3 linked regions of the Stegostoma tigrinum genome follow. The protein of the gene in region 3 interacts with the protein of the main gene of each other region in a pairwise test. Links are inferred from orthologs where the notes say so. Each region holds a gene or a part of one and is shown on either strand. Other genes may lie near its edges.

Region 1 (3,750 bases), on a different chromosome or scaffold from region 3:
GACGGAGCGGGAAACGGTCACATATGACAGGTGAATGGTGGTGGGTGGACCACCTAAAGAGGGGTGGGGGTTGTGGGGAGGGAGTGCAGGGGAGGATTGTGGAGACAGGGTTTGCAGGGGGGATTGTGGTGGGGGTGGGGTTTGCAATGGGGGGACTGTGCTGGGGCTGGGCTTTGCAGTGGGGGGGACTGTGCTGGGGCTGGCGTTTGCCGGAGGGGGGAATGTGCTGGGGCTGGGCTTTGCAGTGGGGGGGGACTGTGCTGGGGCTGGGCTTTGCCGGGGGATTGAGGCGGGGCTTGTGTTTGCGGGGGGGGGGGCGGGAGGGGAACTGTGCTGGGGCTGGGGTTTGCCGGGGGATTGAGGCGGGGCTTGTGTTTGCGGGGGGGGGGGCGGGAGGGGAACTGTGCTGGGGCTGGGGTTTGAGAGATAATGGGAACTGCAGATGCTGGAGATTCTAAGATAATAAAATGTGAGGCTGGATGAACACAGCTGGCCAAGCAGCATCTCAGGAGCACAAAAGCTGACGTTTCGGGCCTAGACCCTTCATCAGAGAGCTGGGGTTTGTCGCGGAGTGGGAGGCGGTGTGTATACGGGATTGTGGGGGCGGGATTTGGCGGGGGGAGGAGGGATTACAGGGGCGGAGTATGCGACGGCGGGCCATACACAAATCGCCGGGCGAACGTGTGGCAGCGTCCGTGCTCAAAAAGCAGAGTTAATACTTTCGCGTTCGGCTGCAGTTCGTCAGACCCGATCGTAGTTTGCAAAAGGTTAGTAGATATAGACTGAAAACGACAAACGCCGGGGTCAGTCAGCACCCGTGGAGCCATCAACGCCGTGCACCGACATGAATGTGCACACTCCACTCCACAATGCAGCAACACCGACTCACTCACCCTGTCTCAAAGCTGCGCCGGTCCCAAGTCTTCACTTCACCCTTTGCCTCTTCCGTCGCCTCAAGAAAAGACTTTCTTTCTTAAGGGTATCGAGGTATGCAAGCTGCAGCGCTGGCTCTCCATGGACGCTGTCTGAGTTGCCGCGACCTCCAGCGTTTGCAGTAATTTGCTATTTCGTTTAGTGTAGAAACCATTTGATTCCTTCCAGACTGGACATTACCCATTTCTTAGCTTGCTCACACCATCTCCCTCTGCCCTCCACCCCCACCAATCGGTCACCCCTACCATGCTGAATTCTGCTCTCTCTCCAGAGAATGCTGCCAGACGTGCTGAATTTTCGCGGCAATTTGTTGCTTTGCTACTGATTGGGCGGGGGAGGCGGGGCCTGGACGAAGAGGCGGCCGTGGGAGAGGGGCGGGGCCTACGGTGGATCGGTCTGTGGGTTTTGGGGGGGGCGGGGTGATAAACCAGCGAAAGTGAACGCCGCCGGGCGGGCGTGGTCACGTCGCGCCCCACATTGTGCGCGATTACGACAAAACGGTCCCTTCTAATATATATTACAATTGGCCAGCAGTCAGGGCCCCTCCCCCCCCACCTCCGTTATCGCGCGCAGCAGTTTACGTCAGTAAGAGACTCCTTGAAGGGTGCAGGGAAAATGGCGGCGCTGAGGAGCCTGCTCCGTGGAGGGAAGGTGCGAGCGTTCCCTGCAATGGTGGCGGCAATTCATCGGTTAATTGCAGCGGCTTCCGGATCTTTGTATCTCTGCAGTAACGCTGACTTGTGTTTGTTTGTACAGAGTACTTTTGGTGTGTTGTCGCGGAAGAGGTTTCATCGGTCGGCTGTCGCCGGCGCTCAGGTAAGAAGGGTCACCTTCGGTCACTGCCTGTGAACGAGAGGAGTTTGTCGTTTTTTTTACCGCGGCCGGTTATCTCTGCTGTTTGTTTAGTCAAGAGTCTGAGGAATTTTGCCTCCTTTATAAGAAGGAGGGTCACCGGACCTAAAACGTCAACTCTGCTTTATCTCCACAGATGCTGCCAGACCTACCGAGTTTATCCAACCTTTTTTTTGTTTCCGGCTTTAGTTTAATGTTCCTGTTTTTAACGGCAGTTTTTTTCTCCGGTATTGTGAAATTAACGGTTATGCTTTCGGAGGTCTTCTATTGAACGCCGCTACTGGAAACAAGCCCCCTTTTTTGGGTTGGATTAATGATTTCAGTGGACGTCGAATAGATGTTTTCCTCTGGATAGCCTAGAAAAAGAGGTCGTAAATGTACAGTGAGAGAAAAGGGGTCTCAAAACTGAATTGAGGGGAAACGACCTCCTGAGGGTTGTGAAACCTGTAGAGGTCCCTCTCTGGGAGTGCATCATTGGTGGAATCAATTATCAGATTCAAGAAAGAAACATATATTTCTGATGAGAGGTGGGTAAAGGCCTGTGGGGACTGTAGTCATTGCAACAACTTCATCTAAGTTGACCTCATAGAATATGATGTCCTTGATTGTGGCTGTTAATGTGGTCCAATCAGGGAGCCCCTGGCTGACAGATATAAACAAGAATGTCAGAGGTTCTGCTCACTAGACCTGGCTCTGAGGAAGCCAGACCAGTGTTGAGAACTATGCACGTGCGAATGACTGATAACTCAGTTTAAGGGATACCGGGGCTGCGGTGGAAGTGTTTCAGGGGTGACGAGAGTGGGATGTAGATATGGCTGTATTGTTCGGACAGTGCCCAGAGTGTCAACTAGGACAAAAATCACTGCTAGCAGCTCCCCCATGTTTGTGAGAATGGCTGGATAAACCCTGGTCTCTGTTAGAAGTCAACTACACCAGTCCTTTCATGATCTCAACAATGTTAGTCACAGTGGATGCCCAGTCAGTAGTTGGGTGTGCATAGCGTTCATTCATCAAACGTGGCAACAACAATTGAAAAGTTGCATCTTTGGCAGTACTGGGCTCCTGGAAGTGTTGGCAATGGACAGTGTGCCATCATTTACCAGCAGGGAATTTGAGTATTTAATAAAGCTGACTGGCATTAGCATTTAAACACAGCTCCATGCCACCCATCATGCAGTGGTCTGGTGGAAAGAGCAGTCCAAACCTTGAAGGCAGGTTTAAAGAAACAGCCTGTAGCCTCGCTCAATACCTAACTGTTGATTATCAGACCACCCTTGTGCAACTACAAGGATAGCTCCAGCAGCGTTGTTCATGGGGATAAGATTCTGCAGCAGATTAAATCTGATCTTCTCAGACCCGAGGTGGGAGGGGGTCGAAGTGTGAAACGGTATCAGGAACAGTAATGCCGGACATCTCTCTTCTACGTGAGAGAGACGGTTTACTTCAGGGGATGAAGTTTGGTGTTGATACCATGGAAAAGAGGAGTTCAAAAATGTGAAAGATATTAATGGAATGTTCTCTATAGATTATAGTGTAAGGGAGCAATAGTGTTTTCACATCACAGCAACCAAACTGTTAGGGTACATTTCTTGAGGATGATTGGCATTGATTACACACTAATAGAATCAGAATAAGACATAGAAAGTGATAAAGCACCATGTAGTTTGCATACTCAGACATTGGACTGTTGTGAGGAACAGATTATGGCAGGTGAATGGGTGACTGAAGACACAGCATTTATAGAAACGTAGGATAAGGTTATTTGCTTGGTTAAGAGGCAAGATCAGATCCACGACCTACAAAATTCGGGTAGGTGAGACGGTTCTGAACAAGAACGTGGACACCATGAAACCTGTAAACTTTCAAACAGGCAGGAGCAAAATTTAACTGATCTCTCAACAACTGGAAAGATTATGGAAACCCATAAGTTCGTTCTTTCCTCCCTCCATCTAACATGGAAGAAAT
Region 2 (3,750 bases), on a different chromosome or scaffold from region 3:
CCAGTAGCCTACATTGTTGCTGCTGTTTTCTGTATTGCACACTACCTGGCTCCTTGACCTTCAGCTCAAATTTGACCTTTGAGCTTCCTGCAATGACTGTGTAGACTCCGCTGTCAAGGCTGCTCACTGCATGGATGGTTAGGGTGTGCTTGGTGCCCTCTGAAATGATGGTCCATCGGTCACTCGCTGCCATGTCTGCACCATGCTGCTGCCATCTCACCTTTGCCACCCCTTTCTCTGTCTCCGCCGTGAATGTGGCATCACTGCCCAGGTTGAACACTGCGCTCCGTGGCTTCTTTGTGAAGGAGGAAGCTGAGCAGAGGGAAGAGGGAGGTGGGACACAACAAAGGGACAGGTTTTCAGAAAGGTGCTCACTCCAATGACAGTGCTCAGCCTCACACCTTCACTACCAACAATCTGTCTGTTTCTAACCCACTCATACAGAACACTCTTCAACATGCAGATCCCCACACACATAGGCACCACCACATGTCTGCACTGTCAACCTACCTGGCACTCTCCTCTCCCTACTCAATTACGTTACCCACCCCTCTCTCCTCCGCTCCCACTCATTGTCTTCCATATCCACCCATGAACTCACTCTCATCCCCTCCAACATCCCTCGGACTCTCCTCCACCAGCAATGTAGCAGGTATTTCAGATTCTGAATGGACACATCCCAGGTTTGGAATGGGAGATACTCCAGAAAAACTTTAAGTACGAGTTGGATTGGATTTTTCCATGTTAAGAATCATTCTGTTTAACCATTAAATGACTGATCTCTTTGTCTCACTGACCACAAGCGTAAAGCCCTAGAAGCTTTAACTGTTCGGAAGGGAGCAGCCCAAACTGGGGGATACAGAGTCTGCAGCCACTCAAGGCGTGAGACAAGCTTCAGTCCTTGCATGATGGAGAGGAGAGTTAATAATGTTAAAAACATTGTCATTCAACTGACTGCTAACATTATTTTCATTCACAGGAGCTGGACGTCACTGGCTGGGTCAGCAATTTTTATTGCCTGTCACTAGTTTCCCTCAAGAAGGTGGTGGTGAGCTGCCTTCTTGAACCACTGCAGTTCATGCGCTGTAGGCAGATCTACAATGCTGTTAGGAAGGGAATTCCAGAATTTTGACCCTAAAGGAATGATGATAAAGAGTCAGTCCAACTTACTAATGTTTGTACTTACAAACAATCCCATACATGGGTATATATTTTAAAGATACAGCATATGAACATTTCCTGCACTTAAGAATGGCTATCTTATATTGACCTAATATAGTTTATGACTTACGTAAAAATCAACTTGTGATGGGACACAAGAACAGAAACAGTTCACAAAGAGGGACTGCCTGTGTTTCCAAGTCAGGAGGGGGAGTGGTTTGGAGGGAACTAGCAAGTCGTAGTGCTCCCATTAATCTGCTGCCTTTATCCTTCTAGATGGAAGAGGTTATGGGTTTGGAATTTGCTGTCTTAGCGAATTCAGACAGTACAGATTTGTAGATGCTGCTACTGAGCATTGGTGGTGAAGAGAGTGGATGTAGTGCCAATCAAGCAAGCTGCTTTGTCCTGGATGGGTTTAAGCTACTTCAGCATTATTGGAACTGCACCCATCTAGGCAAGTGAGAAGTATTCCATCACACTCCTGAATTGTGCCTTGTCAATGGTGGATGGGCTTTTGGGAATCAGGTAGCGAGTTACTCATCGCAGTATTGCTAGATTCTGATCTGTTCTTAAAGCCATTATGTTTACGTAGAGAAGGATTCTCCAGCATCTGCAGTTCCCATTATCACCTGTTTACGTACAGAGCCCAGTTGAGTTTGTGGTCAGTGATGTTGCTAGTGTGTGGCGCAAATTTACTTGCCACTTGTCCACCCAAGCCAAGTTATTGTCCAGATCTTGTTGGATTTGAACAGTATCTGAGGAGTCACAAATGGTGCTGAACATGATGCAATCATCAGTCACGTTGCCAGGTAGCTGCTAGTGTTGTAGCTTTGCTAAAGGAGCAGCAAGTTCTGGTGCATAAGTCCTCAGCACCATTGCTGAAATGTTGTCAGGGGTATAGTACCTCAGGGCTGGCTGTTTTTCTGGATCTGGGACTCTCCAGGTTGGAAGCAGTTCAGAGGGTTTGTCAAAGGAGAGCTGTCTGGTAGGGTAGGGGGTATTTGAACGGAGTTGTTCATCGGGGTGATGACACAGCGAGCCTTTGGGCTGTACTGCAACACATCACTAATCCTCCTTCTGGAACTCCCGGTCAAACCTGCGAGCGCAAGTTCAACTCTCAGTTTGAAAACACATGACTTCATTATGGAAAGCCCTTCTCCAACACCCTGTCCGCTCCCCGAACACTGACCCTCCATCCCACAGATTCTCACCTGGTTTTCTCCCGGCTTCTGACATTCCGCTCCACTTCGTTAAACTTCGCTCCGCTCCCGCTGGCCAAGAGCAACCTTCAGTATCGGGTGCCGAACATTTAAATTCAGGGTCGTGCACGTCAGAGCCTGTCACTGCGCTGAGAGCGAACCAGAGATGAGCAACTGGCGGAATACTCAGGCTAATACATAGCAGGGCTGACAAACAGGCGGAGGACACCCGGGCAGACAGGCACAGAGAGACAAAGCAGAAGTGCAGGCTGAGCTACATGGATAAACAAAAGTGAGAGGCAGACAGAAGTATAGGCAGAGCTACACCTGGACCGAGTGATAGACAAAAATACAGACAGACAAGGAAAGGCAGAGTGTGAGAGGCAGAGGTACAAACATGCAGAGAGCCAGAGGCCAGCAGAGGTACCTGAAAAGCTACATAGATAAAGAACAAGATGCAGGTAGAGGAACAGGCAGACACAGAGAGCGAGCTACTTCTGTGTACAAACAAAGGCACAGAGGCAGACCTACAGAGACAGAGAGAGGCACAGAGATAGGCAGAGATAAAAATAGAATGAGTTGGTGGCAATTTACTGGACTAATAATCCTGAGCCCCAGATTAATGCTCTCCTCACAGCAGGTGGTGAAACTGGATTGAATAGTTGTCTGGAATTAAAAGCTCATCTGGTTAACTAGTTTCCGTAGGAGTTTACGGAGGAATGACTCCACACCCACAGCAATGTGGTAGACTCTCAAATGCTCTCTGAAATGACTTAGCAAGCCACTCATTTGTATTAATCGCTATGAAGTTTCAACAAAGAAATGAAACCGGATAGTTTTGACATCGGGACCACAAACAGCCATGTTGACCCTGCAAATCCTCCTCACTAATATCGGGGGGCTAGTGCTAGTGAAAATTGGGAGAACTGAGTCACAGACTAGTCAAGCAACAGCCTGACATAGTCATACTCCTGGAATCATACCCTACAGTCAATGTCCGAGACACAACCGTCACAATCCCTGGATATGTCCTGTCTCACCGGTAGGTCAGGCTCAGCAGAGGTGATGACAGAGTGATATACAGTCAGGAGGGAGTTGCCCTGAAAATCCTCAACATTGATTCCTGACCCCATAAAGTCTCATGGGATCAGGTTATTCATGGGTAAGGAAACCTCCTGCTGATTACCATGTACCGTTTTCCCTTGGATGACAAATCAGTGCTTCTCCATGTTGAGCAATACTTGGACGACGCACTGAGCATGGCAAGCTTGCGTAATGTACTCTGGGTGGGGGACTTCAATGCCCATCGCCAAGAGTGGCTCAGCAGTAGCACTACTGAACACACTGGTAAGGTCCTAAAGGTCACTGCAGGTGCAGTGAGTCTGCAGTA
Region 3 (3,750 bases):
CTGGTTTGTGAAATCAGCATCTATTTCACATCAAAAATCTTACAGTTGCTCCACATACTTTGAACTTTTTATCTTCCTCTGGTCACATTTACAATGTTTATTAAAAATTGGTGCTTATTAAAACTAGTTACACTGTAATTACACCCTCCTACCAGTGAAGGCATTGTAATATTAACATAAATTGAAGGATGTTATTACATAGGATTTTTCAATTCAGAACATAAGATCTTTGCTGGCATTTACACTCATTGTGGGCCTTCTCCCAACTGCCTTCTCCAACCTACTTTCTTGCCATGTCAACAGATCCTTTTATTTGTTTTTCTCCATGATGTATTTATCTAGCTTCCCTTTAAAACCATCTACAATAATCTCCTTCAACCACTTCATATGGAAGCAAGTTTCACTGAGTTAAGAAACTGCTCCTCAATTCTATATCAGTTTGATTAGCTATGTCTTAATTTTGTAACACCCTTGGTTCTGGATTCCCTTACAGGTGGAAACATCTCTATATCTGCTCCATCAAAGGCCTTCATAATCTTCACTGTGAGTTGTTCACGTGGGCAGTTTCCATTAAAGAAGGAAACATATGAACTTGTAACAGAACTGTAGAAGTACACACAATATATAACAAACTGAGCTAGCATCTTTGTAACTCAGTCCAACTGTCCCTGAACTTATTCCCACTTCAACTGAAAAATACAAGATTTGGGTTCTTGATGTGTTCACATGATATCTCAGCAAATACCTCCAGGAGGCATCATTGCAAGCAATGCATAAGACGTATCATAATAATCACTTTCCCAGCCTGGCAAACGTATTTCCATCTTCTCTTCCCATCACCCACCTGTACCTCTGACCCGAACAACAAGCTTGATGCAGAAGATGAAATGGTTCCCCAAGCTAACCTGATTCCCTCTTCCTTGTAGATATCAATGATGTTCTCCACCAGTAGGTTCCTCTGCAGTCCATATACCCCATGACGGTCCAGGATAACTTCATGTCGACAGGATGGGCACCTGAACCTACCTCCAGAAATCATGGTACCTCGACCCTGCCAATATGGATTAGCAGCCTAAAAAAAGCACATACATATATGTATCTAGAAAATGTTTAGCACAAGCTCACAGGTTAGCACTGTACCAAAACTGGATGCAACATTATACCTACTCATCATTTTTAAAAATAATGTCAAAAGATATCACACTTTTTAAAGTTTCTGCTTTAAAAGATTTTCAGAAATACTTACTCACCTAAAGGTTTGTTAAATTTTATATTAAAGAGGTCTCCCTAAGTCTTGAAGATCATTCCTATATTATAACAGTAACTTTACTTGAAAAATATACTTCATTGATCATAAGATGCTTTGGGACAACCTGACATTGTGAGCAGTGTTAATGAATTCAAATTCTGCCTTACATCCTAGCTTTCTAATCTGTCTTTCTTAACTGCCAATAGTGCAGACTGTGCACGGTCCAGGTTCACTTTTAAGTTTATGTTCAACTAGCTGATCTCAGACTTCAGTTGAGTTGCTGCAATTGGCTTCAATGGCCTTGGTCTGAGGAAATGGGGAGAAATTAAACCATGGCTCCCATTGGAGTTAGTGCAGGTGCAAGTGAGGTATGGGGACACAGGAGGGACAGCAAAACTCCAAGTTCTATTTGTATAGCACTCGTGGCATGGTGCAAACATCCCAGGGCATTTCACAGGGGTCATATTAAACAATACTTGACACCAAGCCACCAACTGAGATATTAGGACAGAGGATTGAAGTCAATATCTGTGCCTTACTGCAACCCAGCAAGTGGTCAGAGCTCTCCACAGAAAGTTGGAAAGGAGTTACCCATTTCCAAATGTTACTGTCTTTGAAAGTTTGGAACACTGATAAGAAACCCCAGTTTGCCGAGTTTTGAATGGACACAGCTTAAAAGCACTAACCTGGAATACATCATTGGCACATTTTCTGCACAGATTGTGTTGGCATGGCAGGATCACAACCGGCTTTTCAAACATTTCAAGACAAATCGGGCAGATGAGTTGCTTCTCCAGTGTCTCCATCGTGCTGGATTCTCGGATAATATTCGGCTGGAACTCCATCTCCAAATATAGCAAACACCACTTAAAAACCTGCTGAGTTGCGTTGCCTTTTTCTTCTCCCTGTCACTCTCGTTGCTTTCAGACAAATTCCGTGTTAGTATCCTCTTCAGAAGAGATTCAGTGGAGCTCAGGCGTCGTGATAAGATTACTCCTTGTTCCTTTTCTGTCTGTGCATGACAGCTCGTCCTTTTTATAAAGATTTCCAGTGTCACATGATAGCTGAGGTGGGGGGTGGGGGAACCTAGTCCTCAACATAACTTTTCCCATATTAGAAACTTGCAACGTGAAACTGAGAACAAGCAGGACCCGGAGATGCAGTCACATGTGACACTCAGAAAAACAACTTACACAGAAAGAATAAATAAAAATAAAGTTGCTAAACATTTTATATAACTGCCAATCGATCAAGGTGAGTAGAAAACATCCTGTCCAAAATGCCCAACAAAAACAATTTTGTTTTCACTGTGCATCAAGGGAATTTTGAAAGCGCTTTGACAGGATTTGTAGACAATCGTGAACATTGACAATGAGGGAGGAAGGCATTAGAAAGTTAATGTAGGGCTTGGTTATCTGGATACTTCTGAAAGCAGGAAAGGAGATTGTGAAGAAGTGCAGTCTTTTGGGGATAGGGATACTCTCAGAGCAGGGGATGTGATGGTGGAAGAGTAGAATGAAGCATCCAGCAGCCAGGAGTGAAATGAAGAATAGGCCTAGCTGGGTTTGCTTGGTGAGTCCAGAAATATTTTAGATGTGGCTGATATTAAAGAAAATACAAATCCTTTCCACTTATCAATTGCAAAGATTCTTCAGCTGTTGAATTTAAAATATCTATTAAGAGCCAACGACATTGACACCCCAAGAATGAAGTTTGTAAAAACCAGCAGATATAAGTCCTGGAGTTTCCTCCACATATTTGCCCAGCTGCCTGAAAAGTGTTCAAGCCAATCTAACGGCTTAAAAATTGGACATGTGAGTCATGAGCATAACTAGAATAACATTCTGATTTTCCTCAATGTTAATAACCACGGAAACTGTCCAAACAGGTTTCCACCCACACCACTGGAGACAACCCCCTACAACCCCAACTCTCAATTACAAGTAACTCGATTGTCCTTGTTTACAAATCTCACCAGGACATCTCGTGGTACCATCACAATCTCAGCCACTGGACCAGAATGACTGGGTGTCAATCCCACTGCAGGTTTTAATGGCCAAGAAAGGTATATTCATAATGGCCAAATATGCTGAGATCAATTGACAAAATCCTTCCAACATGAGCCAGTGATGGCGTTTAAGGAAAGGAGATATTCCTGATCAGCCATGTGATAGAACGAATATCGGACGCTATGCCATCACAACCTACAATTCTGACTGCAACACACATTTTAAAATTTATTTACTTATGGGACATGGGCATTGCTGGCTGGCCAGCATTTATGGTGGTGAACAATTAAACAACTCACAGGAGGAGGACACTCTACAAGTATCCCCATTCTCAGTGAAGGAAGAAGCCTGACACATCATTGCAAGAGATAAGGCTGAAGCATCCACAGCAATCTTCAGCCAGAAGTAATGAATGGATGATTCATTTTGGCCTCCTCCAGTGGTTCCCCAGCATTATAGATACCAGTCTTCAGTCAATTCAGTTCACTCCAC

What was found.
Region 1: the proteins of E3 ubiquitin-protein ligase TRIM63-like (region 3) and pdhb interact in a two-hybrid assay, tested with the Homo sapiens proteins (2 studies listed by BioGRID). The link is inferred for Stegostoma tigrinum from reciprocal best matches to the Homo sapiens genes TRIM63 and PDHB.
Region 2: the proteins of E3 ubiquitin-protein ligase TRIM63-like (region 3) and mybpc3 interact in a two-hybrid assay, tested with the Homo sapiens proteins (2 studies listed by BioGRID and IntAct). The link is inferred for Stegostoma tigrinum from reciprocal best matches to the Homo sapiens genes TRIM63 and MYBPC3.

Annotation. Positions count from the first base shown.
Region 1 is NC_081364.1:52,377,637-52,381,386, forward strand, and holds the start of pdhb (pyruvate dehydrogenase E1 component subunit beta, mitochondrial), read left to right. Parts: upstream 1-1,451; 5' UTR 1,452-1,548; coding exon 1,549-1,584; intron 1,585-1,689; coding exon 1,690-1,749; intron 1,750-3,750. UniProt on the Homo sapiens protein: The pyruvate dehydrogenase complex catalyzes the overall conversion of pyruvate to acetyl-CoA and CO(2), and thereby links the glycolytic pathway to the tricarboxylic cycle.
Region 2 is NC_081370.1:12,000,340-12,004,089, reverse strand, and holds the start of mybpc3 (myosin-binding protein C, cardiac-type), read right to left. Parts: upstream 2,497-3,750; 5' UTR 2,398-2,496; coding exon 2,373-2,397; intron 313-2,372; coding exon 46-312; intron 1-45. UniProt on the Homo sapiens protein: Thick filament-associated protein located in the crossbridge region of vertebrate striated muscle a bands. In vitro it binds MHC, F-actin and native thin filaments, and modifies the activity of actin-activated myosin ATPase.
Region 3 is NC_081377.1:30,190,343-30,194,092, forward strand, and holds the start of E3 ubiquitin-protein ligase TRIM63-like, read right to left. Parts: upstream 2,245-3,750; 5' UTR 2,095-2,244; coding exon 1,936-2,094; intron 1,073-1,935; coding exon 906-1,072; intron 1-905. UniProt on the Homo sapiens protein: E3 ubiquitin ligase. Mediates the ubiquitination and subsequent proteasomal degradation of CKM, GMEB1 and HIBADH.